Linked DNA regions of Callithrix jacchus. The protein of the gene in region 4 interacts with the protein of the main gene of each other region in a pairwise test. Links are inferred from orthologs where the notes say so. Each region holds a gene or a part of one and is shown on either strand. Other genes may lie near its edges. The genes, in order: PPP2R5D, PTPRD, FAM161A, PPFIA1, TXLNA, DTNB and CCNH.

Region 1 (3,416 bases), on a different chromosome or scaffold from region 4:
GATGAAGACCCTATTCCTAAAAAGATAGTTTGTAAACTAAGATTTTGTGGACTTCAGAGTCCAAGTGAAATGCTCATCTGCTAGCTTTGGGGATGGGCAGGCTGGCCTAGAAAATAAGATGGATTTGGTGACCCACCCAAGGGCGCTGGGTTGATTCAGGGATTGGGGAGGAGAGCTGGTCCCATTATTTCTGTCCCTGACTGGCCTTTGGCTCTGATTTCAGAACATGTAGAGCTGGTGAAAAGGACGATGGCTGGAGTAAGCCTGCCTGCGCCAGGGGTTCCTGCCTGGGCTCGGGAGATATCAGATGCCCAGTGGGAAGATGTGGTACAGAAAGCCCTCCAAGCCCGGCAGGCATCCCCTGCCTGGAAGTGACCACAGAGAGCTGCCTTACCTTCCTACATTCCAGGCCAGAACCAGCACAGGACTGAACACATCCCTGGTTGTAATGTCCATTTCCATCTTCCCCATCTCCCTTTCCACATCAAGGCACATAAGGCTTCTCAGAGACCCACTTTATTCGGTTCTGTACATATGGGGACATCAGCCCAAGCCCAACCCACCTTAGCATGTATCACTCTGTGGAGAATAAAGCACCCTATATACACAGCCAAAAGCCGCACTGCCTGTGCACCTGGAACCTGGGTCCAGCCCTCCTCAGTCCCTTGCCCCTCCAGGGTACCTACAAGGGACAAGAGAGGGCATGCCCAGCCTAGCACAAACAAGGAAATAAATAGGTGTTGCCAGGAGCCATGCTTGGGGCATTGCTCCCTGCTTCCTTCTAGTTTTGGGAAAGCAGTCAGCCCGAGGGTGGTCCCTTCCATGTCTGATCCCAGGGCTGCTGCTCACCAAAGACAGGGCATGGGGTAAGGTGTTTGTTCATCCCTCCCTGGCCCCACCCAGTCTATCTGGGCCCTATATTCCTCAGTTACTGTCCATAGCCTATACTTTTCTCCTTTTGACCTCCCTTGGTCAGGCATGGGGTAAGAGGAAATAATACAACCCTATCTGCCAGTACATGGCTGGGGCTAGGGGTGCCTATTTGTGCTGCAGGGGGTTGGCTTCCCTCCAGCTACTCCAGGGGAGAATGGGGTTTGCCTAACTTTGGTGAGAGTAATCTCCTGCTGTTCCCTACTTGCCTCTGCAGTGGAGAGAGAGGGGAGACACCTGGTGTTCAAATGAGGATGAAGGGAAGAATAGAGGAGCATATGTATTCCTGTGTATACTTCTCAGAGCAGCCTCAGGTAGCTGTGGGTGAGGAGCAGGTAGGGGACAGGCATCCCCAGGTTGTCTGAGCACTGAATATCTTAGTGCTCAGCTTGTATGAGCCACAAGGAGGCATGAACACCTTTTGGGGAGAAGAGGGACCACTCTGTGGGTGTCCCTGCTTCAAGTGCCCACATCCCCCTCCCTAGAGTAGCTAGAGAGACGCTGCCTTCCCCCAAGTCAGCCAGTAGGGAGCAGAGTGTGGAGGGCCGGGGCAGTGTTCCAGGGCTGAGTGGGCTGTGGCCCTGTGGTAAGAAGGTGAGGGGGTCAGAGAGCCTCCTGGCTGGCAGTTAGGAACTCTTCCGCCCGCTTGTGCGCCTCCAGTGCCTTGATGGTGTACACGTCCTGGGGCAGCTCCGACTTCCTCCGCAGCAGCACCTTCTCCTTCTTGATGTCTTTTAGCATCTGTGTGTGAATAGGGACAAGGGAAGGAACAGTGACCAATTCCCAGTGAATTCTATTGTTTCCTCCCCTTATTCTTTGGCTCTGCTGTCTGTGTCTCCTCTCCCTTCCAGAGCTATTATTTCTGCTCCATTCTCCTACATTGTCCTCTCACCTGCACAGCCTCAGTCTCCACAGTCCTCTTCAGAAGCTGGATGTCCTCAGCCGTAGGGGTCTCTGTCTCCATGGAGTACACAGGGGGCAGTGGTGGAGGAGCTCGAAACATGGGATACTGAGTGAGAGGAGACATGGACAGCGGTGAGAGCCACTTCAGAGACTTGGGGGTCTGTGTGCCTCATATTCCTCCCCCAGCTCAAGATGGGCTGGCCTGTCACTTCACAACACTGGCAGGAAATCCTCACCTGGGGATTAAGCCGGGCCAGCTCCTCGATTTTTTGCCACATCTCTTCCCTTTCCTTCATTCGAAACCGGCCCCTGAGGATCAAAAAAGTAGGATTGGGGTTGGGCTTGAGAGAAACAAAGTGAGCTAGTGGTAGAAGATGAAAGTCTCCCAGGGAGAGAGGTACTCACTTCTGCTTCTCTGCCTTGTATTGTTGTGTGCAGTCATCAAATAGCTTCTGATTCATTTCCATAAACAGCTTCAGGGCATTATAGATCAGTCCATGGATTGTCCTGCCACCAGGAAGAAAGATGAGGTGTAGGAGACCAGAGTCTGCCCTTAGCACAAGGAACCCAATTTGTTCTCTCACAGGGGTATGTCTACTAAGAGCTTTCTCATTTACTACTTCCAGTTCACAAACCTCTATGCAGGATCAGAAGATAGCTTCGGCCAAATCATGTGGTTTGAGACTGGCATTTCATGGTCCATCTGTCCATGCTTCCCTCACCCCATTCTCCAAGGCCTGCCTACTTCCTACCCTTTCCCACTCTCTCACCCACACTAATGGCCTCCCAGCAGCATGACAGACTGCATCTATACCACACTGTGCTTGCTTTTAGCAGAAAAGTCCTTTCAAAACCCTGGGATTCTTTTTTCTTTCTTTTTTATTTTTTTAAAGATGGAGTCTCACTCTGTTGCCCAGGCTAGAGTGCAGTGGCACAAAATTGGCTCACTGCAACCTCCACCTCCTGGTTTCAAGCTATTTTCCTGCCTCAGCCTCCCGAGTAGCTGGGACTATAGGCGCATGCCACCACACCAGCTAATTTTTGTGTTTTTAGTAGAGATGGGGTTCCCCCACGTTGCCAGCCTGGTCTCGAACTACTAAGTTCAAGTGATCCACCTGCCTCAGCCTCCCAAAGTACTGGGATTACAGGCATGAGCCACTGTGCCTGGCCCAAAACCCTGGGATTCTTTACACATACTCTCAAAGAGGGTCACATCAGCTTTTTGCAGCACAGAATTACGTCTCTAAAGCTGTGACAGGACCTGCAGAATAGCTGACCCCAAGGAGTGGTGTAACACAGGTTGCTGCCCTGCTATTTGATATCACAGAGGCATCTTTTGGCTCCAGTTAGCCCCTCAAGGTCCTATCAACATGCAGGGGACACCAGCCCCACTTGCTGGGTGACCAGGTGAGACCCCTGGCCCTTAGTTCTTCCATATCCTCAAAGTTTTCCTAACTGGATCCCCACCACCCAGCCCCGCCCCCCAGTGCCTTACTTGTTCCAGTGGCTCTTGGAGTTCCTGTAAAGTGCAGGGAACATGATGGGGAGGACTCGGGCTGCATTGTCACTTATCAGGCTCATGA
Region 2 (3,500 bases), on a different chromosome or scaffold from region 4:
GTTTTGTTCGATCATAGCCTCTGTTACTTCTTTTCATCCCACAATTCATGATTTGGACTCAAACACATATTTTATTTTTTTCCCTTATTTTTTGGATTAAAAAAATCACCATTATGAAAAGGTTGACACTGTTTAGAGTTGGAGTTATTCCTACCAGTTTTTCAAGATCCTGTAGTATCCTTCTGCCAGAGTATAGAACCATGCATCATCCAGACATTTGAATGGTCCCTGATGCATATTTTGAGAAAATAGTCCTGCCATTATCTAGAATTGATGTGATATATAGGGCTCAGTTATAAGGTTTACAGTGTGATTTCCAATGGGAAGAACGGCATAAAGCTGTGTCCAATTAGAAACGCTGCACAGCTGCAGTGAAGACAATTTAGAAAGATAACACAGAAAGAATGAAAGATGTTACTCTCGGGACCTGCCAAACATAGGGTTTGAAAGAAACCCAGAAAGACAAATCTTTTCCAGATTAAGTCTGACTTGGGTTTAACTGCAATCCAATGGCATATCGGGAGACCAGCAAACACACTACTTATAAAGTGTTTTCCCTGTCTCTTTATTCCCAATCAAACACTATCCAGAGCAGTCCTCAGATACTCCTTACTTAGTTCCAAAGCCTTGTCAGATGTAGGATTTTGAAGTGACTGAAGAGTCCTGCTTCCTATGTAGGCTTACCTTACCGGGATGGACTGCTCGTTACTGGAGGCCTCTCAAGCCAGTCACTAATTTGTTTACTTATTTCACAGACACTGTTGAACACTTACCATATGCTTTGTGTAGGGCACACACAGTTTTTTTTTAGTGCAGTTCCTGCTCTCAAGATGATTGCTATTGTTTATGGATGGCTACCCTAAATTAATAAAATAAATTGGTTTCAACTATAGTGAAGAGGGGTATTTGAGGGCACCAAGAGATCTGAGACAGAGGGTGATTAAAACCGCCTGGGAAGGTGGGAATGGGGAATGTCAGGGAAAATTTGCCATCTAACAGGCTTGTTTAGAACCAACTAAATAAAATGAGACTTTATGGATCATTGGTCTGTGCTAAGGTATGTGCTGTCATCTTAAGACTATGTTTCAGAAGGCTTTTGCATGATGTATTAATATCATGTCAATGTGTGCATTTATACTTGGGTTTGGAGTCTTAGCATCAGTATTCAAGAGCCCTCTGGCATAGGACATAAAAAAGGGTAAGCTATTTTAAAATACTGGTTATATCAGAGATTCCCAGTTAGCCCAGTCTACAAACCAAAGAGCTCCTGAATGGAAGCTAGCTTTGATACCCACTGTTCAGAAGTTAAATAAAGGTGTTATTTTGTTTAAAAAAACGCTCTTACTGCCTTGCAGCCACTTGACACCAAACAGAAACTGCCATTTCAGTTGAGACAGACACACTGGTGAACATTAACTCATTCATTTTGCAATTCTGGTGTCTTCGTTGCACTGTGCCACTGGTGCCTTGGCAGATCTATGAAAAGTTTCACTTGTAGCTCCCAGAGCCATCAGTGTGATTACAAAAGCCATCCATCTTTTTTCATGCTATAGCATCTTTAATTCCTCATCCTTCCTGTCCTTCAAGTCCTACTTCAAATGCCACATCATACACAAAACTAATATATCATTTTTCTTTCTCGTCTTAGAAATAGCTGTGTACGGAGTGTTATGTTCCTTTGACACACTCTGAGCTCTTTCAAGATAGCATCTAAGTCATCTTTATTGCTGTATCCCCTACTTCACTTAGCAGAGTACTTCATTGTTCATTGAATGAAGAAGTGGATAGATCAATGATGGATGGACAAATGAATACATAGATACACAGATGATAGGAAAGATGGCAAGTAGCAAATGAAGGAGGCTGTCTGTTGCTGGTTTTCTAAGGTGGTAATATATACCTATTGCTGTTGATTACCAGCCTGATAAACACAGGTGATCAGGAGGCGAAAGTATTTTGGATTGACCATACATGACACATAAGTGTCCTCAGCCTGAAGGGTTATGATAAATAGGAAATAGGTGAGGTTTAGCTTGAGACTGTAAAAACAATCTTTATATTTTGTACATAGAACTAAAATAGATTGAGAGGGTTTGTAAAAACCATAGCCTACTCAGATCTGGACCAAAATATAAAAGTATCTTCTCAATTCAGACAGACCAAATGTTCGTATTTTTTTCACGACTTGAAAAGACTTCAAAATAATGTCTACTTTGTATTGCATGATCAATAACTATAGTGACTACGGATTTAATATTTTTTACATTTTAAAACTAAACTAATTTCACCCAGTCTGTTGTTCCCTGCCCTCTGATTATGATGCCTGGATAATATTTTTGGCTTTAAAGTATTACAAAGTCATCACAATAGCTATTTGCGTAGAAGTAATGGATGTAAGGTCTAGTTAATAAGAATAATAAAAATACTTTTGTTTTGTATTGATTTTTCTGATAGATTTATTTTGGCTTTTCTCTTTATTTTCCTCATAGTGCGGGAGTTGGCCGGACTGGTTGTTTCATCGTCATAGATGCCATGTTAGAAAGAATAAAGCATGAAAAAACTGTAGATATTTATGGCCATGTAACTTTAATGAGAGCCCAGAGGAATTACATGGTTCAAACAGAAGACCAATACATCTTTATCCATGATGCACTGTTAGAAGCAGTGACTTGTGGAAATACCGAAGTGCCAGCTAGAAACTTGTATGCCTACATTCAGAAGCTGACACAAATAGAAACAGGAGAGAATGTCACAGGAATGGAGCTTGAATTTAAGGTAAGATATTGGATGGGATGTGGTTCTTCAGGAGCAAGTCATTCTTGGTTTGTCTTTGAGTTGTCCCTTCACTTTCTTAACCTTTCAAATTCGTGAAGTACAAAATTAATTTGACCTTCCCCTCAGGTGTCTGATTATAAAACACATCCCTCTCCTTTTCCTCTTTTATTCATAGCTTCATAACAATGCCCTGAGCCCTTCTGTCTCCTAATTTAAATTGAGAGATTATACTTTCAGAAAATATATAAAAATCCAATAGGCTATAGGGAGTAATTGGGTAGATGTGAAAAGAGGTACAATTTGAATCGCCATTTACTTTAAACAGAAAATTTATATCTAAAAGGGAAATTTGGGGTATACTACATTTAAACAATAGTGAAAATGATCTTCGTTGGTTTCTTTTTTCTATTCAATAGCGTCTAGCCAGCTCAAAAGCTCACACCTCAAGATTTATCAGTGCCAATCTTCCATGTAATAAATTCAAAAATCGCCTTGTTAATATTATGCCATATGAATCCACAAGGGTATGCCTGCAGCCTATCCGTGGAGTAGAAGGATCTGATTACATCAATGCCAGTTTTATTGATGGATACAGGTATCTACTGTTGCTCCTCTGACTATCCAAAGCCTTGATATTTACATGCGCCCTAGTTTTAAAACTAGAATAAATTTCATCTCCATTCAAAGCTATTTTTCTGCATAGGTCAGCATTTAGTCCCTTGGTA
Region 3 (3,201 bases), on a different chromosome or scaffold from region 4:
CTCTCTTTTTTTAACTTTGGCTCTGTGTTTACCAGATTATATCTAACAAAGTGCTTCAAAAGTGATTTCTAACAAAGTAATATTTAAATCACAGTGTATCTCATTTAAGTAAAAGTATTTTAAGTCAATAGCTTCCTCAGGAATGTTCTGTCTTCTGACACCATCATTTGAATATCACAGTTTGCAAAGAGCTTTTCCATTCATGATTTCATCCAGTCCTTCCTACAGTTACCCAAGATAGGTACAATTCCCATATTTTTTAAGGTAAGAAAACGAGATTGATCTTGAAGCCAAGTGTTTCATGACCAAAGCCCACACTCTCCCCATGAAATTGAGAAGGGACAGGCTGAGGAGTGAATCTTTGAAAGCAAGTAATGTTTTAAGTACTATTATAATTTGTAGATTGTGTTTCACTGGCTCCCAATGAGCTAGGAGGAAAATGTTTTTAATCCCATGTGTACTCATGCTGAAATAGCTACAAGTATATAAAAACCATATTCATCTGCACAGTCATTCAAACCTTTATTAAGTACCTACCATATGTATAATCCTGTGCCAAATATTAAGGGAATACAAAGATGAATTTGTAAATGGTGCCAATTCCCAAGGAGTTTACAATTTAATAAAAGTGAAAAGTAATTTTCACTTTTAACATGAACTGTAGGAAGGAAATTACAAGTAAACATTTGCCCCTAATGAAGAAAAATAACCTTATTTTTCAATTTAAAACACAAATTGCCAGTTGGGGAACACTGCTATTACATACACCTATATGAGTTCATCCTTTTACAATGATGCTGATTGTTTTTAGAAGAGAAGACGTCTTATGCTGTAACAGCTTTATAATTGGCTTCAAATTTTAAAACAAAAATTTGCTTAAAGAAAAAATTATTTCATAAAATCAGATTAACATTGTACCCAGAGAGACAAAGTGTGTTTGCAACAATATGTAAAAAGTTGAACACAACTGGGTCTAGCAGTAAAGAGTTAAATCTGAATTACTTTGGATACTTGCCTTAGCCAAGTTCCTATGCACAATTTCATCATATATAAAACAGGAATACTTGCCCCTAATTTAGATTATAACTCACACATGCCATAAATACTTCCATCTGTAATAATACAAAGGTTTAAAAAAGCTAGTATAAAAACTTTCCTAATAATTTACGTATCAAAAATAATTTTGACTAGAACTAAGGATTAAAAGAAAAAGGGATGATGGTGTAGACAATTTAACAGTGAACTTTCAGTGCAAAAATAAAATTTGTAAGTATTTTTTTTCTATACTTTTAAAAATGGCTCAGAGTAGCAAAATAAATTCAAGGATTTATTCTGTGAAATGTATTTCAGAGAAAAAGAATGGGCAAATAGTATAATTAAAAATACTCATTGATTCACACTTTCCAGAAATTTTTAAAAAGTAAATCACCAAAGACCAATATTTCTCTCTGCTTTCAATACTAAGCCATTTTTTCTATTAAAATTAATGAAACAACGTATATTTTTATAACAGTTTGACAGCTGTGATTCTCAAACACTTTTAAAAAATACAAAATCATAGTTGTAAACAGATTGTATATAATGATTTTTAAAACTGAATAGGCAAAGCCTTACTCTAACTGATCAAATGACCAATAAACTGGATTCAGGCTTTTCAGGGTACAGATGACTTTGCTCAACTGCCCTGCACAAATCAGAGGTGTCCCCACAGATGTTCTAAACACAAATGCAGCTGCTCACACCCTGACACTGCGAACAGCAGCAAGGGCATAGAGAGGAGACCTTGATGATTCAGTGTGATTCTTCAACAGATTTCTCTTCTCCACTCTCTTCATCAGCTTCACCTTTTTCCTTATAAGAATCCTGGCTGTTGGTATCAATAAAATAATTTTCTTCCCCATTTTCTCTCTCTTCTATTTTTTCTTCTTCATTAAAGCTAGGGGAAGAAATTTATCAGTCTTTCGAAGGAAAAATGAGTTGGTTTAAATGTAAAAAAAAACCCCTCTGCAAGTGTGCCACCGTGTAGCCAGTCTTCCTCAAGTGTATGAGTTCCAATTTGTTATCAAGAAAACTCAAAAAAAAAAACAGAAAATGCTATAAAAGTGCCATCTGAGACTGCGCATGTTGGCTCATGCCTGTAATCCCTGCACTTTGGGAGGCTGAGGCCTGGCAAGCATTTGGCAGAGACCAGTCTGTCTCTACTAAAAATACAAAAATTAGCCAGGCCTGGTGGCAGGCACCTATAATCCCAGCTACTCGGGAGGCTGAAAGAGGAGAATCACCTGAACCCAGGAGGTGGCGGTGCAGTGAGCCGAGATTTCGCCACTGCACTCTCCAGCCTGGGCAACGAAGAGCAAAACTCTGTCTCAAAAAAAAAAAAGTCAGCAATTGAGAAATTTAATATTCTTGAAAACTAATTTATCTATTTATTTATTTGTTTATTTATTATTATTTTTTGAGATGGAGTTTTGCTATTGTTGCCAAGGCTGGAGTGCAATGGTGCGATCTCAGCTCACTGCAATCTCTGCCTCCCAGGTTCAAGTGATTCTTCTGCCTCGGCCTCCCAAGTAGCTGGGATTACAGGCATGCCCCACTACACCTGGCTAATTTTTGTATTTTTTAGTAGAGGCAGGGTTTCTCCATGTTGGTTAGGCTGATCTAGAACTCCCAACCTCAGGTGATCCACCCATCTCAGCCTCCCAAAGTGCTAGAATTACAGGTGGGTGCTACTGCGCCCAGGTGAAAACAAATTTACTTCAAAATTTGAGTGACTGATTCTTTAAACATCATTTGAAAGCATGCTATTATTTTTGTTACTTATGTCAGTAAGAAATCTAAGTTATTCTGTTTTAAAAAAAAATACTTCACAGCCAGGAGTGGTGGCTCACACCTGTAATCCCAGCACTGCGAGAGGCTGAGGTGGGTGGATCATGAGGTCAGGAGTTCAAGACCAGACTGGCCAACATGGTGAAACCCAATCTCTAAAAAATAAATAAAAAAAAATAATAATACTTCACCACAAGAATGTGAATGTGTTACACATGTCAAAATATCAATATGTTTTAAAAGAGTTCACAGGTCTTTTACTACTGGGTAAAATATTTTTTAAAACAATATAGAACAAAAATATATACATAGTACAAAATTGTATGCTTTCCTGCAGGTAACAATTTTTTCAAAGGTAAACCATTAAGACATCTT
Region 4 (3,500 bases):
CAGTCTAGGCTGCGTCTCTGTGAAACCCACACCTCCAGTTGCCTTCACTAGGACCTCCACGATTCCTCGGTTTAAAGAGGGTGCCCTTAGGTTTAAACATCACCAAACTTGGTTGCAAATGAAGTTAGTGCCTTGGGAAGGGGTTAGGAGCGGTCTCTCTTTCTACCTCCTTCTCCCAGGCAAACCCTCAGAACGAGGGCTCTGGAGTTGGGAGTGTGGACAGTGGCAAGCTTCTCCCTGACAGATGCCCCTGGTCTTGTGGTGGCAGCCAGGGCCCTCTCAGCTTGTCATTGCAGGGCCGGAGTGCAACCACCACCTCGCAGAGCCAGGGCACAGCCGATCAGGGCCCCAGCATTCTCAGCGTGCCACACTGTTGAGCCTTCATTTTAGAGTGGAGGCTGAACAGAAGTAGGAAGGCCCTCCCCCAGCCCCTCCCCCTGCCCCCACCCCCCACTGACTTCACTAGCCAGGATGTAGCATCAGCACCAGGTAGCTGGGGTGGGATGGGAAGCACTGAAGTTCTGCCCCTCCTGGGAAGAAAATGTGGTTTGGAGCAGGGGGAGAGGGCCCTACGTTATCAGCTGCAGTTATCTAGAATGAAGTCTGCCTCACTGACCTGGAGGGGAGGCAGGGAGCAGTCTTGGTTCAAATACAACAGACTGGCCATTCTTACTGAATTTTCAACTGTATGCTGACCCACTTGCCCTTAGAATGATCTCCAGAGGCTTTGAATAGTTGTTTTCTTATAATATTCACCTGCTTTCCATGGGAGCAAGCAGGTCAATGGAGCTTCTCAGGCTGTCATGCCAGAACTCTATTACCCAGAGTAGGGATTCTTGCAGAAATATTTAGGAGAGAGGCTGGGCACGGTGGCTGAAGCCTGTGCTCTCCGCTACTTGGGAGGCTGAGGCAGGAGAATCACTTGTGCTCAGGAGGCCAAAGCTGCAGTGAGCTGTGGTCACACCGCTGCACTCTAGCCTGGATGACACAGTGAGACCCTGTCTCAGAAAGATAAAGGGAGAAAAGGAGGCCAGGACAGGGGTGGTGGCCTTCTAGGCCTTCTTTCCTCTCTCTCCTGCAACTCTAGATCACGTGTCTGTGAGTCATTCAAAAACGTCTTCATGCAGTTCATGTCAGGATCCTGTGGAGGAAAATGTTTTGGACTTCTCTGGCTGCTGAGAAGGTGGACTTGGATTCCCTTTCTTCCCCTGCCTTCCTGGTGCCAGGCAAGGCCCAGGGATGGAAGGAAGTCAGATGGTCTGAGTCAGTGTTCTGATTTATTAGGGAATCTGCGTGGTCTTTGGCCAGTCCATTGATCCCCTCTTTCTCTGGAGGATCATACAGATCCCTTCCCCATAACTTGGAATGAGGTTGCCTTCGTGCAAAGATGGTGGAGCCTTGATGGAAGGCTTTCTTTGGAGGGTCTGTCCTATTTAATTTCGTTTTGTAATTTTCTAGGAGTTCGCGGCACTTACTAAAGAACTCAATGTATGCAGGGAACAGCTCCTTGAAAGGGAAGAAGAAATTGCCGAACTGAAAGCAGAAAGGAACAACACCAGGGTGAGTGTGACCTTGCTGTTCACCGCCTGCTCCTGGAGCCACTGCCTGTCAGGAGGAGGGAGCTGTCTCCAAACGGAAGGACGGCCCACTCTGCCCGGCTTCAAACACATTTCTTACCTTTTCCCACTGAGCGCACTGTGATTAGCCACACTGTCACACGTTAATGGCTTGAAATTTGTGATGAGAATTTATGATATTTTAATACATTTGAGGGGAATGTATCTTTCTACTGAATTGAAGGGACCTCATCTTAGCATGAGACTGTAAAGGTGTTATTTGCCCCAGATTCAATTATGAAATGACAAGTGCTCTTTAACAAGTCTTTATTCTGGCCTTTTATTTCAGCTGCTGTTGGAGCATTTGGAATGCCTCGTTTCCAGGCATGAGCGGTCTCTTAGGATGACCGTGGTGAAGAGACAAGCGCAGTCTCCAGCAGGCGTGTCCAGCGAAGTGGAGGTGCTGAAGGCCCTGAAGTCGCTATTTGAACACCACAAAGCTCTGGACGAAAAGGTGCCTCAGCTGCATGAGCCTGGGTTTGTGCACGTGCTGTGGGCTAGGCCAGCTAGGCCAGCTCCGCAAGTGTTCGTGTAACTTACTTTTGAAGCTTCTTGAATTCTTGGAAATAAGTTTCTGTTTAAGAAGACAGGGTTTTATAGGTTTAAAAAGTACTAATTGGCATATATGTCTTAAAATTACTAATGTAAAAAACTTGCTAATGTATATTGATTTGCTGTTACAAATTGGGTAATACTAGATTGTTGCAAAAGTAATTGTGGCCTTTGCTATTACTTTTAATGGTGGGTTTTGCTATTACTTTTAATGGCAAAACCCACAATTACTTTTGCAACAACCTAATAGTATTCAGGGGGAAGATTTTTCTCAAACTTAATTTAGAAGCATTAACAAGTTTTTTGAAAGTAAGATCAGTGGCAGACGTTAACGGTGTTTTATTATATTACAGTAATATATATAGTACACCGAACTGCAAAGTAAGAATAAACAGTGTACACACACACACTGAACCTCTTTTATTTTCAGGTGAGAGAGCGGTTACGAGTAGCACTTGAAAGATGTAGTTTGTTAGAAGAAGAATTAGGTGCCACACACAAAGAGGTGAGCTTCATACATCATCATGATTTGAATTGGGAGGTTTTTGTTTTTATCTTTCAATCATTAAAAGTAGCATAAGGGCTGGGCATGGTGGTTCACACCTTTAATCCTAGCACTTTGGGAGGCCGAGGCGGGCAGATCACCTGAGGTCGAGAATTCGAGACCAGCCTGGCCAACATGGTGAAACCCTGTCTCCACCAAAAATACCAAAATTAGCCAGGAGTGGCGGTACGTGCCTGTAGTCCCAGCTACTCAGGAGGCTGAGACACGAGAATCGCTTGAGCCCTGAAGGCAGAGTCTGCAGTGAGATTTCACCAGTGCACTCTGGCCTGGGCGACAGAGCGAGGCTCTGTCTCAAAAAAAAAGTAAAACAAGTATAAAGACTGTAGTTGTGAATATCAGATGTTATTTATCTGGGTCATTTTAAGGACTAGAAAACTGTGATTACCTAAGGACTCATTTGGCCAGTGGATAAAAATTCCATCTTTAAAGATCAGATTGGATAGCATTGCCACATGCTTTCTTTTTTATACTTTGTTAAGCAGTTTATAGTTGTGTTTTTCCAAAAGGAGTTTTACTATCTTACTTCTCTTATGTAAAGTATTTTATACTCGTTCAATTTTTTGGTTTTAGCTAATGATTCTTAAAGAACAGAATAATCAGAAAAAAACACTAACAGACGGAGTACTGGACGTAAACCATGAACAAGAAAATACACCGAGCACGAACGGAAAGGCAAGTGTGCAGGCTTTCTCTCTCTCCTGCTGGATGTCGTTTGTCCGCAGTATGTGTCGGGTTACGTGGAAAACAGTTGCTAAAGCACTGGCTTA
Region 5 (4,280 bases), on a different chromosome or scaffold from region 4:
CAAATATTAATTTCAACACCTCACTGCTAATGCTGTAACAGAACTCTGCAGACCTAGGGAGCAAGTACAGATTGCAGAGCACTGGGAAGGCTCTGCAGTGACCTTTGAACTGGGCCTCAAAAGATTTTAAGTTTGACAAAAGCCAAACCTCTTATGCTTCAAATTCCAGGCACAAAGATTGTTGGGTTTGATTTCATTATCCAGAGGCAACGGGGATACAGAATTTCTGATCTCACGTGTAGAGAATTGTGTTTTTTTTCTACTTTAAACCCAGTGAGACTTTAGTAGACAGTGGGGCAGTCAGAGAAAAGGCTCTAGAATATGCCTGAAGCCTTAACTCAGCACCTTCCTGAGGAATTGACTGCCAAATGGTAAAGGAGAGGGGAAAATATGACCTATGTTCACAAGTTACCTTGACTGCCTCTGGAAAACCTGCTGTGGTGGTGTTTCTTCTGGGTAAAAGACAAGGTAGGCCGGGAGTGGTGGCTCACGCCTATAAACCCAGCACTTTGGGAGGTCAAGGCGGGTGGATCACGAGGTCAAGAGATCGAGACCATCCTGGTCAACATGGTGAAACCCCGTCTCTACTAAAAATACAAAAATTAGCTGGGCATGGTGGGGCGCGCCTGTTGTCCCAGCTACTCGGGAGGCTGAGGCAGGAGAATTGCTTGAACCTAGAAGGCGGAGGTTGCGGTGAACCGAGATCGCGCCATTGCACTCCAGCCTGGGTAACAAGAGTGAAACTCCGTCTCAAAAAAAAAGAAAAAGGGAAGCCGAGAAGTTACCTGGGTGCTGGTGTCAGAGTTAACAATTCTGAATCCGTTTTAACCACTCACTATCGATGTAACCTTGGAGAAGTTACCCAGCCTTTCTCTTTACTGTCCTTTTCCGTAAAATGGCGCTAACAGTACTTACTTCAATGAGTGCTTATGAGAATGAAGCTATTAGATACCGGAAAGCACACAGTAAGCGCTCAAGGAAATTATTGTTATTAAACACCTCCTTGGGAAGAAGGACATTAAGGCCCAGGGAGCCACAGCAAATCCATGATGAAGCTGGGACTGGAGTAGGGGTCTCCTGGGCCTCATCCCAGGACTCTATCCCTCTTCCCGATTCGTCGGAATTCCTGGATGGAGTCACATTTGTTCAAGGCCAGGGAAGAAGGCTTGACGGAGGCCTGCAGGAAACAATGCTAGGCGCAAGGCTTTAGGAGCTGAGGCATAACTTCTGCGAGATAGAAACAAGGTTGACCTGGGCATTTGCGCGGAATGACGGGCTCTTTTTGGACTCCCAGAACTACTGCCCCGTCTGCACTTTGGGAGCTGCTGCCAGCCCCAGCGCACAGAGGGACGCGTAGTCCTTTCGCTGCCCCGCCCTCAGGTCCCGCCCGCCTCCAAGGCCGCCCTCGCTTCGTCCTTCCCAGCAAGCTCCGCGCCGGCGCCGGCTATTGATTGGCTGCGGCGGGTGCAGGCTGCTCGCCGGCAGTGGTTACTCGGGGTTTCCGGTGGAGGCCAGAGCTGGAGAAGCCGTCGGACGTCGGTTGTGAGGTGCGTGCCGCGGCGACCGGTGGGAGAGACAATCGGAGGGTGTACGGGCCGGGATGTTCTCGGCCTGTGGGGAAATCACGGCGACTCCGCGCGTGGGCCGGGGGGCTGTCTAGGGCGTGTGCGCATGCGCGGGCGTGCCTCGCGGCTGGAGGGCGCGCGGGGCGTGGGTGGCTGCGCGCGCGGGGGGCGCACGTGGGTCCTGAGGGGCGGGGGCGGCGCCGCGACTCCTGCGCCCCGCCACGTCAGTCTCCGGCCCCGAGCCAATCCCGCTCTCGGCCTGCCGTGAGGGGGTTGGTTGTGCTGGGAAGTGGCTCCGAGAAGAAAAAGAGGCCTCTTTCCTCTTCCGTTGCGCTGCGAAAGCCTGCTACGGCACACCGGGCTCCCCTGACCCGCCAAGACCGGAGAGCCGTTGGCGCCCTCCGCCGGGGCCGGCCGGTCCGTTTAAGAAGCTTTGGGCGCCTGCTGTGGGGATTTCTGATCCAGACTGCGAAGAATTTCGAAGTCTGAAAAATTGCAACTGTGTTTGTTTCTAAAGGATCTCCTTCTGACCCAGCATCGCTCATCACAATGAAGAACCAAGACAAAAAGAACGGGGCTGCCAAACAATCCAACCCAAAAAGCAGCCCGGGACAACCGGAAGCGGTACCCGAGGGAACCCAGGAGCGGCCCAGCCAGGCGGCTCCTGCGGCAGAAGCTGAAGGTCCCGGCAGCGGGCAGGCTCCTCGGAAGCCGGAGGGTGTGTGCCAGCTCTGCATTGCCAGCGGGCAGGGGGAGGAGCTGTGCGCCTGGCCTCACTTCTGGATTTAGAGGCCGAGGCCAGGTTGTGCAGAGGAGGAGATGTAGAATGAGAGGGCAGTGCTGGGGCCGCGGTCCTTCCGGCGCCCTGGCGAGTTGGTGAGCACAGGAACAGAGTTCTCTTCTCTGGAGAGAAGCTCTGACAGGATTAAGTCAGGTGGCAGCCAAACGAGGCACCCAGTCAGGAAATCCAGGTCCTGTTAGAAACACCTCAGCCACCAACAGCTAACTGCCCTTCCTGGATTGAGGCATTTCTAGAACAATCTGAATGGCAAGAAGTGGTTGGTGAGGGGGGAAGGAGATGGACTAGAAGTTGCTTCATGCCAGCCCTGTGTGCTGATGCTTTACATACTTTTATGTTTGTAACCAACATGTTCGGGTGATAGTAAGAAATAGTTGTGTCATTTTACAAGTAAATAGACTTAAAGAGGTTGAGCATCCATTACCTGAGTCTGGCAAGAAAAAAAAAAAAGTTGCCGGGCACAGTGGCTCACACCTGTAATCCTAACACTTTGGGAGGCTGAGACGGGCAGTTCACCTGAGGTCAGGAGCTCAAGACCAGCATGACCTATACGGTGAAACCTCATCTTAAAAAAAAAAAAAGTTAAGCAACGATGACTATAATTTCTTTTAAAAGATGTTTCGAGGCTGGACATGGTGGCTCACGCCTGTAATCCCAGCACTTTGGGAGGCCAAGGCAGGTGAATCACCTGAGGTCAGGAGTTTGAGACCAGCCTGACCTCCATGTTGGAGAAACCCTGTCTCTACTAAAAATACAACAATTAGCTAGGTGTGGTAGTGCATGCCTATAATCTCAGCTACTCGGGAGACTGAGTCAGGAGAATCGCTTGAACCTGGGAGGCAGAGGTTGCAGTGAACTGAGATTGCATCATTGCACTCCAGCCTGGGTGACAGAGTGAGACTCCATCTGGAAAAAAAAAAAAAAAGTTTTGAATCTAAATTCTGACAGGAACTAGATTTGCTGTCTTCTTTCTCATTCTTTCCTGCTTTAGGGGCACAAGCCAAAACAGCTCAATCTGGGGCCCTCCGTGATGTCTCTGAGGAGCTGAGCCGCCAATTGGAAGACATACTGAGCACATACTGTGTGGACAATAACCAGGGGGGCCCAGGCGAGGATGGGGCACAGGGTGAGCCGGAAGATGCAGAGAAGTCCCGGACCTATGTGGCAAGGAATGGGGAGCCTGAGCCATCTCCAGTAGTCAATGGAGAAAAGGTACCCTCCAAGGGGGAGCCAGGCACAGAAGAGATCCGGCCGAGTGATGATGTGGGAGACCGAGACCACCGAAGGCCACAGGAGAAGAAAAAAGCCAAGGGTTTGGGTGAGCAGAGAGTGGCTCTTTGTGCAGCTGGTGAGGGGAGGGAATTTGGACTTGATGTTCTCTGGGCAAGTCTGTTCTGCCAGGATTCAGAGGAAATGGTACTTCTCAGAGCAGCAAGTCACCCTAGTCTAATCAAAGCCAGGGATGTGGGAGTCACACATAGAAAGATGCAGGGGTTTCCAGCACAAGGTCTTCTGGCTTTTGGAGCAACGGGAGGTTGATGTGTGACCTGCTCTTTGAGACAATGGAGAGCAGGAGGTCCGGGTAGCCTCCTGTGCCAGCCAGTACTACCTGCCTTGTGACCTTGGGTGTGCCCCTTCTCCTCTCTGGGTCCTAGTTTCTACTTCTGTTTACAGTAAGAAAATCAGACTAGCCCAGAGTTGGAAACCCAAATGTCTACATAAGCTGGGCTGCCTATGGGGCTCCATGAAGATAGAGCCTACTTTAGCCAAAGGCTTTATTGCTATTTAGTTAGTTGCTCTTAACTAGGCAGCAGCCAGCCTTTTTTTTTTTTTTTTTTTTTTTTTTTAAGAAAAGCCAGAAATCTAGATCTCTAGATTTTTTCATAGTTAGCAGCTAAAATGGTAGGAGCCAAACA
Region 6 (4,282 bases), on a different chromosome or scaffold from region 4:
ATATCTCACTGCAACCTGGACCTCCCCAGGCTCAGGTAATCTTCCCACCTGAGCCTCCCGAGCAGCTGAGACTACAGGTACATGCCTCTATGCCCAGCTAATTTTTGTATTTTTTTGTAGAGACAGGGTTTCACCATGTTTCCCAGGCTCAGAAATCTCAATTCTTAGAACTTATTTTATTAAAACATTCAGTTATGTGTAATTAAATGTATGCAATAGAATATCTTACCAGAGTTATTTCTCAAAACCAAAATTTAAAAAAATACTTACAGAGCTCTGATTAAATTATGAGATAGAAGAGTCCCAAATCACTAAAATAACACTGTAAAAGAACGTTTTAGATGATATAAAATGGTATATGTAGTATGGCTCAAATTTTGTTTAAAATATGTTTGAGAGACCAGGCATCGTGGCTCATGCCTGTAATCCCAGCAATTTGGGAGGCTGAGTCAGTTGAATCACCTGAGGTCAGGAGTTCCACAGCAGCCTGGCCAACATGGTAAAACCCTGTTTCTACTAAAAATACAAAAAAAAAGCTAAGAATTAGCTGGGCGTGGTGGTGCATGCCTGTAGTCCCAGCTACTTGGGAGGCTGAGGTAGGAGAATTGCTTGAAACCCAAAGGCGGAGGTTGCGGTGAGCTGAGATCCATCATGGCACTCCAGCCTGGGCAACAGAGCAAGACTCTGACTCAAAGTAAAAAAAATGTGGGAGACAACACAATAGAAAAAGGAGCAAGCATTCTATGGAAGAGAAAACACATGGTCAATAAACATAGAAAAAGATCCTCCATTTCATTCGCATTCAGGAAAATGCAAATTAATACTACAACGTTGTACACCTACTAGCATGGCAAGTTTTAAAGTTTCACAATTCCAAATGTTGGAAAAAAGGCTAATCAATTGGAAACTCCTATACAGTAATGGTGAGAGTATAAATTGGTACAACCATTTTGCCAATATTTAACAGGTTGAAATTCTACCTACCTTATATCCAGCTATTCAACCCCAAAGATACTCTTCATGCATGCACCAAGGGGAATGTGCAATCACTGCACTGTCCTTAGTACTTTTTTTTTTTGGAGGCAGAGTCTCGCTCTGTCACCCAGGCTGGAGTGAAGTGGCATAATCTTGGCTCACTGCAACCTCTGCCTCCCAGGTTCAAGCAATTCTCATGCCTCAGCATCCAGGGTAGCTGGGATCACAAGCGTGCATGAGCACGCCCAACTAATTTTTGTATGTCATAGAGACAGGGTTTCACCATGTTGCCCAGGCTGGTCTCGAACTCATGAGCTCAGGCAATCTGCCTGCCTTAGCCTCCCAAAGTGCTGGGATTACAGGCATGAGCCACCACTCCCAGCCTGTTCTTGAGACTTATGAAAACAATCCAAATGGCCAGCAAGAGAAAAATGAATGTATAAATGTGTATATCTCCACAGTGGAAATATTAAACAGCAGCAAAAATAAAAGAACATTTGCATAACACAGCATGGATAAATTGAACCAACATTTTTCTTCGTGAAAAAAGCAGGAAACATATGACTCATAGCATGTTACCATTTTTACAAAGCTGAAAATCAAATAAACACAAACAATTTCTAAAATTACTTTAATAAGGCAAGGGGAAAAAAAATAAGGCAAGGGAATGATACTCCCACCCCATGAGAGGAAGTGGGAGACTAAGGGGTGCACTTAGGTAAATGACAATTACTGCCATTGTTTATAATGTTTTGATTCTTGTGGGGGGAGTGTAATGTTACATATATTCTTTGAATATATCAAATATAATATTTATCAAAGATAAAGGGAAAAAGTGTGTGTTTACTGTGTTCCTTGAATAAGACTGGATGAATATAAACCAAAATATTTGAAGAAGTTATCTCTGGGTAATAGGATTAAGAATTATTTTAATTTTCTTTGCATTTGTTTGTATTTTCAAACTGTCTTAAATGAACATGTACTTTTTTGGAGGCAGGAAGAAAAATATTTTTTAAAATCTGTGCTAGAACCTGTTCTATTTTCATTCCACAGTCTGAACATCCAAGTCTTAATTACCATAGTGATAAATGATCTGGGGAAGAGATGCGTGGTGGAATCGCCAAGGTCATGTGCCAGGTAGTGAGTGAGCTGAGAGTGGCAGGGAGGAGGCTACAGAAGGATGTGAGCGAGCTGCGTGGGAGGGCAGACACCTGCCCTCCGAGTGTCAGTGTGAGCAGGAGGAAGGTAATAACAGCTGAAGGAAAACAATTTAATGAACCTGAAAACCATTCCTTAAAGTTGTAAATAAAATCCACTGTCCAGCCTGCTCTGGCTTCTAGCTTCCTTCTCCCACCTCCACCCCCATCCCACCAAAAAAACCAAGAACGTGCAGATAGCAATACTCAAAACAAAACATCATAATCGCATCTTTGTATCAAATTATTATACATTGACACCATAATGTGTGTCTCGTTCTGTTCTCTGCCATTTACAGATGGCGTGATAGGACTGGAAGGGGTCCAGGAGAGAGTAATTCAAATGATTAGCAGAAAGAAGGTCCTTCACAGGAGGCAAACAAAAACCAAAATCCATCCTTCAGGGGATGGTGATAGCTTGGCTGCCAAAGGTCCGCACAGTCAGGACACAGACAATGTTGCCGAATCTCACAGTCCCAGCAGTACGGGGTAGCGCGCCATCTGTGTTGACAGAGGCAGATTTGGAAGAAATGAATAGGAACTGCTATTTTGCATGGCAAATAACAATGTGGAAATCCTTACCCCCAGAGGCTGAAGCCTGAGTCCTCGGTCTTGGCCAAATGTGGAATGAAGCTGGCACAGAAAACCAGCTCGAACACCTCTGAGTGGGATTCGGAGGGCGGGGAAGAGAGGCAGCGCTAATGGTGGTGTTGATCTTTACTCTCTGTATCATCCTGTGGATTATGAGAGCCTGTGACAAATTGCATGAAAAACCTTTCAAGACAAAGCTTTCTAAGATTTATCTCGGGAACAGCAGTTGTATTCTTCAATAAAACTGTCCTTAGGTGTCAAGCTGAAATTTGGACTGGCTTGGATAGCTAGCGAGACTTCTGTCATATTTTCCAGGTGCTGGGATTACAGGGGTGATTAGCTATCATTCTGCCATACCATGCAAAGCTCACGAGGCAGGAGGCTTGATGGCACCCCAAAAGATCCCAAGAATTACCCCAAGAAGGCAATCCAGAGGCTAGAGTGTCCGAGGAAGAGTGTCCTACAGGTTTTGTTAGTTTATCAAAGGCTTGTTTATTTATGTAGTGTTGTCAAACACCTGAAAATGTCAACAAATTCTATGTTGACAAAACATTCTAAACTGGCTCAAGGGTAATTCAAGCTGTTCTCACATACCTGTCACCTGGTATGCTTTTGAGAAAATATACCTGCACCCAAAATTCATCTAGATGAACTAATCTTTTTTTTCCAGCCTGTTACCCAGGCTGGAGTGCAATGGCGCGATCTCAGCTCCCAGCAACCTCCGCCTCCTGGGTTCAAGAAATTCTCCTGCCTCAGCCTCCTGAGTAGCTGGAACTACAGGCTAATGCCACCATGCCCGGCTCATTTTTGTATTTTTAGTAGAGACAGGGTTTTACCATGTGAAACCCTGGATCGAGACCAGGATGGTCTCGATCTCTTGACCTCGTGATCCACCTGCCTCAGTCTCCCAAAGCGCTGAGATTCTAGGCGTGAGCCATCACGCCTGGCGGAACTAATTTTTTTTAAGAGACAGAGTCTTGCTCATTGCAGCCTCAAACTCTTAGGCTCAGGAGATCCTCTGGCCTCAGCCTCCCAAAGCACTAGGACCAGGCATGAGCCACTGCACCTGGGCTGAATTTTTTTAAGTGACCCCAAGTGATATAATGCGTAGCCAGGGTCGAGGAGCACTGAGCTTCTCCCATTTGTTAAAGTTAATCATTTGAAGGGTTTCTGGCTGTACAAAGAGTGCAAAGGGCGCTGGAAACTAGCTGGGATAGAAGTAGAGACCATTCCGCCGGCTCGGCGTGCAAGGTCTGAAATACGTCCAGGGTGCCCCTGCATGGTCGTGGGTGAGGGAAGGGAGGCTCAGCTGCTTTATTTTTTATTTTTATGTATTTATTTATTTTTGAGATGAGTCTTGCTCTGTTGCCCGAGCTGGAGTGCAGAGGCATAGTCTTGGCTCGCTGCAACCTCCGCCTCCCAGGTTCAAGTGATTCTCCTGCTTCAGCCTCCCAAGCAGCTGGGATTACAGGCATGCACCACCATGCCCAGCTAATTTTTGCATTTTTAGTGAAGATGAG
Region 7 (3,500 bases), on a different chromosome or scaffold from region 4:
AAAACTAACACTTTGAGAATCTGTTCATTTGGACTTTTATCAATTATCGGTCAAGTTCAGGTATGTAAAACCTTAGAGTAATTAAAAATTTAAATATAGAAATTATGTTTTTATACTGTCAGTGGCCCTGAGAAAAACAAGTAATTGAGTTTTATATCACATTGATGGAGAAGTTTAACACCTTTGATTTGGACTTGATGCAAATAAGTATTAGGTGATAGTCTTGTTGGTTTGAATGTCTGTTACTCCAAAGAAGTACAACTATAGGTAAAATGGCTTTCATATTAAGGGGACAGAAAATACCAGTGCCAAATTCCAGTTTTGCTGCTTCCTAAGTTTATTTCTTTGGGCAGGTTACAAGATCATGACTTGCTCATCCCTGTAACTGAGATTCCTCTTCTGTAAAATAAGGTTAGACTCATAGGATTTTTATATTAAAAGGTATAAATTTATAAGTATTGGCTATTACTGCTGCTTTCATACTATTTCCTTCTGAAGGTTTATGCCTGAATATCACTAAATTTAAATGAATATAAACATCTTTTAATGTAATTGGTAATAAATCCTTAAAACATAAGAGTTATGGATTATATTTTTATACATTTAAACATTTTAAAGTTACCATTGATGAGATGGAGGAAAATAATTGATGATGCCATGCTTTTGCAATGTGCTGTATGTTTTCAGTAGATTAAATTTTTTCTTTCCTTTACCAGTTATTTATCAGAGAGTCTGATGCTGAGAGAGAACAGAACTTGCCTGTCACAGTTACTAGATATAATGAAAAGTAAGTAAAACAGAACACTCTACATATGTTCTTCCATTACAAAGTTCCTTTCTAAATAAATATCTTGGTGTTTAACTAGAAATATAACTTAGATTTTTGTTTAGATTTATTTTCATTGAGTGACTATATTATGGAAGCACTGATCTAGAACAAATAGAAGGTACATGGAAGTAGTGTTCATGTATATAGAACTTATGCAGAGTGAAACTATAATTGGATTTAGAAAGGGTTTAGAGATTGACAACAGGATCCTTTTAAAGAATAAAGAAACATACTAGTCACTAAAAAAGATGTAATGGGAACTAACTTAAGGATAATGTTTAAATTTGGAACTTCTATTTTGTGGATAAATCATTTTTTTAAAGAGAAGGAGATTTGACACACTTAGAATAGGCGCTGCTAAGACAACAGAGAAAGATTTAAAGATGCTCACCTTGAAAATTAGAGTGATGTGGCTGTAAGCCAAATGAAGCTGGCAGCCACCGGAAGCTGGAACAGGCAAGGAATGGATTCATCCCTGGAGCCACCAGAGAGTATGGCCCTTCTAGCACCTTAATTTTGACCAATTGAAACAGATTTCAGACTTCTGGGCTCTAGAACTATGAGACAATACATTTCTGTTGTTTTAAGCCAACAAGTTTGTGATAATTTTAATAGCAACTTCGGGAAACTAATGTAGCCCTGCATAACCAAGAATTATCCCACCCAAAAAGTCATTAGTGCTAGTGTTGAGAAATTCTGTCCTAAGGGTTGAGTAGAATCTCATCTTATTGACTGAATTAGCCAGCATTCTCTATTCTTCATTCTTGCCCATGGCACACTTGTTGATGGCTGCTAAGCTACTCTTTGGGGTTAAAGCTCAATCATGTTTGTTCCCAAACCTTGTTGTCTAAATTGTTCTTAATTAGATTTGTAATTTAATTAAATATTAAACCAGTGTAAGATTGAAGATCTTGATCTTGGATGACAGCAAATGGGTATACATTTTATATATTTTGTGTTTTAAAAGTTAAGATGCTTGAGGACATCTGTATCATTTCTTGATTCTCTGCTTGAAGTGATCTTGAGAACTTTCTTTGAGAGTGATGGGCTCATGGTTTATGAATTAAACTGTAGCTCTTTAGTTATACCACTAGGGGGTTCACTTTCAAAGCTAATTGTGAGTTGACTATAGATAATAGGAGCATAGAATTTAGTAGGTAAAGGGAGTCTTATTCCACTTTATTTATTTCATAGCTTAGTTTTATTACTGATTTCTTCTCAATACCTTTATTTTGCTCCACTTATTTTAAATGAAATAAAAATAGCTCTTCATAAAATATTTATAGATTTAACGTACTAAGATATTTGTAATGTTTGGAACAGATAGTGTCTTATGGGCGTTGAGTCACAAGTATTCAGTTGAAAATACTGCTTTGTTTGCATTATGAAATAGGTCAGTATAGTCATTTGGATCACAAGGCTGGCAAATAATAATAATAAGCCAATTGGCGCTCTCCTCATTCCCCTAATAGGTTTTGAAATTTGTGTTCTTTGGTTTATTATAGTTGAATAAAAAGATCAGCTAGAGGATGCTTTTGCAGTTATAAAGTTACTGATATAGTAGTTTGCTTTTAACCTAAAATGGACATTTTTTTCTATAGGGTCTGTTTTTTGTTAAAGCAAAGGATTATTAACAAATTTTTACTAAGCATCCTCCCTTTATTGCATGTTGTGTAATAACAGTTTCCTTTGTAAATGGGAAATATACTCTTAGTCCACTATCTGTGGAATAGAATATTATGAAGATGGTTGGTGATAGAGAACAAAGCATGTTCACTAAATCATTTAGGGATTTTTTTAAGTCTTAAGCTGAACAAGTGACCCCAGTAGGATTTGCAAAAAATTAATACTAGATTACACAGTGTGCTTTATGCTGTACATGGTATGGGCTAAACAGCAGAGAGCCATAATTACTTGAATTAAACATATGGTGCCTATAGGATTTTAAAGTAGAATGATGCAAATCTTGAGAAGAATAACCATGTCATTTGAAGAGTGTTTCGTTGAAAAGTAACAAGCTCCCTTACTATGGAAAGGTTTGCTTATTCAGTTTAAATTATTTTTTGTATCCACATAGGCATGAGAAACTTAGTAAAAAAGTATGAACCACCCAGATCTGAAGAAGTTGCTGTTCTGAAACAGAAGTTGGAGCGATGTCATTCTGCTGAGCTTGCACTTAATGTAATCTCGTAAGTTGATGTTGATCTCGACAGTGTTGATCAGTAGACATAACTTTTATCCAGTCCAGCTGGTTTGTAAATCATTTTATTGGTGTTTGCTCATTTAAGGAAAGCTGACTGATCCATTGTATCAGATTTTCTTTGTTGAATGGACATTTCTAATAGATTAAACTTAAGACCTTAATAGTTCAGCATTCACTGTGCAGTTCTGATCCTGCTGTGACTTGTGTTCTTTGGCTTGCATGCCCTGTCCTGTTCTGTTACTTGTCATGGACTCTCAGGGGTCAGGGTCTTCTTAAGGAATCCTTTAACCTTTTCCTGTCATTTTAATCTTTGGTCTCTGCAGTTGTGATATTTGGTCTGAAGAACAAATGTCCTTTCCAGACTTCTGTTAGCTAAAGTAGGGAAACTTGGCATACATACTTTCTTTCAGTGCCAAACTTTATATTGAAGATAAAGCCAATAGGAAAATAGGCTGTTTAATCTCTTCT

The links.
Region 1: the proteins of PPFIA1 (region 4) and PPP2R5D interact in binary tests that used the Homo sapiens proteins (3 or more experiments, as listed by UniProt). The link is inferred for Callithrix jacchus from reciprocal best matches to the Homo sapiens genes PPFIA1 and PPP2R5D.
Region 2: the proteins of PPFIA1 (region 4) and PTPRD interact in a two-hybrid assay, tested with the Homo sapiens proteins (2 studies listed by BioGRID). The link is inferred for Callithrix jacchus from reciprocal best matches to the Homo sapiens genes PPFIA1 and PTPRD.
Region 3: the proteins of PPFIA1 (region 4) and FAM161A interact in binary tests that used the Homo sapiens proteins (3 or more experiments, as listed by UniProt). The link is inferred for Callithrix jacchus from reciprocal best matches to the Homo sapiens genes PPFIA1 and FAM161A.
Region 5: the proteins of PPFIA1 (region 4) and TXLNA interact in binary tests that used the Homo sapiens proteins (3 or more experiments, as listed by UniProt). The link is inferred for Callithrix jacchus from reciprocal best matches to the Homo sapiens genes PPFIA1 and TXLNA.
Region 6: the proteins of PPFIA1 (region 4) and DTNB interact in binary tests that used the Homo sapiens proteins (3 or more experiments, as listed by UniProt). The link is inferred for Callithrix jacchus from reciprocal best matches to the Homo sapiens genes PPFIA1 and DTNB.
Region 7: the proteins of PPFIA1 (region 4) and CCNH interact in binary tests that used the Homo sapiens proteins (3 or more experiments, as listed by UniProt). The link is inferred for Callithrix jacchus from reciprocal best matches to the Homo sapiens genes PPFIA1 and CCNH.

Annotation. Positions count from the first base shown.
Region 1 is NC_133505.1:51,496,147-51,499,562, reverse strand, and holds the end of PPP2R5D (serine/threonine-protein phosphatase 2A 56 kDa regulatory subunit delta isoform), read right to left. Parts: coding exon 3,329-3,416; intron 2,341-3,328; coding exon 2,239-2,340; intron 2,143-2,238; coding exon 2,070-2,142; intron 1,940-2,069; coding exon 1,823-1,939; intron 1,672-1,822; coding exon 1,534-1,671; 3' UTR 501-1,533; downstream 1-500. Other genes in the region: MEA1 (male-enhanced antigen 1), read left to right, coding at 224-375. UniProt on the Homo sapiens protein: The B regulatory subunit might modulate substrate selectivity and catalytic activity, and might also direct the localization of the catalytic enzyme to a particular subcellular compartment.
Region 2 is NC_133502.1:114,784,546-114,788,045, reverse strand, and holds part of PTPRD (receptor-type tyrosine-protein phosphatase delta), read left to right. Parts: intron 1-2,489; coding exon 2,490-2,775; intron 2,776-3,191; coding exon 3,192-3,370; intron 3,371-3,500.
Region 3 is NC_133515.1:52,310,044-52,313,244, reverse strand, and holds the end of FAM161A (protein FAM161A), read right to left. Parts: intron 1,937-3,201; coding exon 1,792-1,936; 3' UTR 501-1,791; downstream 1-500. UniProt on the Homo sapiens protein: Involved in ciliogenesis.
Region 4 is NC_133511.1:127,261,386-127,264,885, forward strand, and holds part of PPFIA1 (liprin-alpha-1), read left to right. Parts: intron 1-1,458; coding exon 1,459-1,560; intron 1,561-1,905; coding exon 1,906-2,070; intron 2,071-2,598; coding exon 2,599-2,673; intron 2,674-3,303; coding exon 3,304-3,405; intron 3,406-3,500. UniProt on the Homo sapiens protein: May regulate the disassembly of focal adhesions. May localize receptor-like tyrosine phosphatases type 2A at specific sites on the plasma membrane, possibly regulating their interaction with the extracellular environment and their association with substrates.
Region 5 is NC_133508.1:68,784,935-68,789,214, forward strand, and holds the start of TXLNA (alpha-taxilin), read left to right. Parts: upstream 1-1,480; 5' UTR 1,481-1,547; intron 1,548-2,082; 5' UTR 2,083-2,114; coding exon 2,115-2,283; intron 2,284-3,355; coding exon 3,356-3,682; intron 3,683-4,280. UniProt on the Homo sapiens protein: May be involved in intracellular vesicle traffic and potentially in calcium-dependent exocytosis in neuroendocrine cells.
Region 6 is NC_133515.1:89,527,276-89,531,557, reverse strand, and holds the start of DTNB (dystrobrevin beta), read right to left. Parts: upstream 2,801-4,282; 5' UTR 2,754-2,800; intron 1-2,753.
Region 7 is NC_133503.1:123,478,033-123,481,532, forward strand, and holds part of CCNH (cyclin-H), read left to right. Parts: intron 1-716; coding exon 717-787; intron 788-2,906; coding exon 2,907-3,018; intron 3,019-3,500. UniProt on the Homo sapiens protein: Regulates CDK7, the catalytic subunit of the CDK-activating kinase (CAK) enzymatic complex. CAK activates the cyclin-associated kinases CDK1, CDK2, CDK4 and CDK6 by threonine phosphorylation.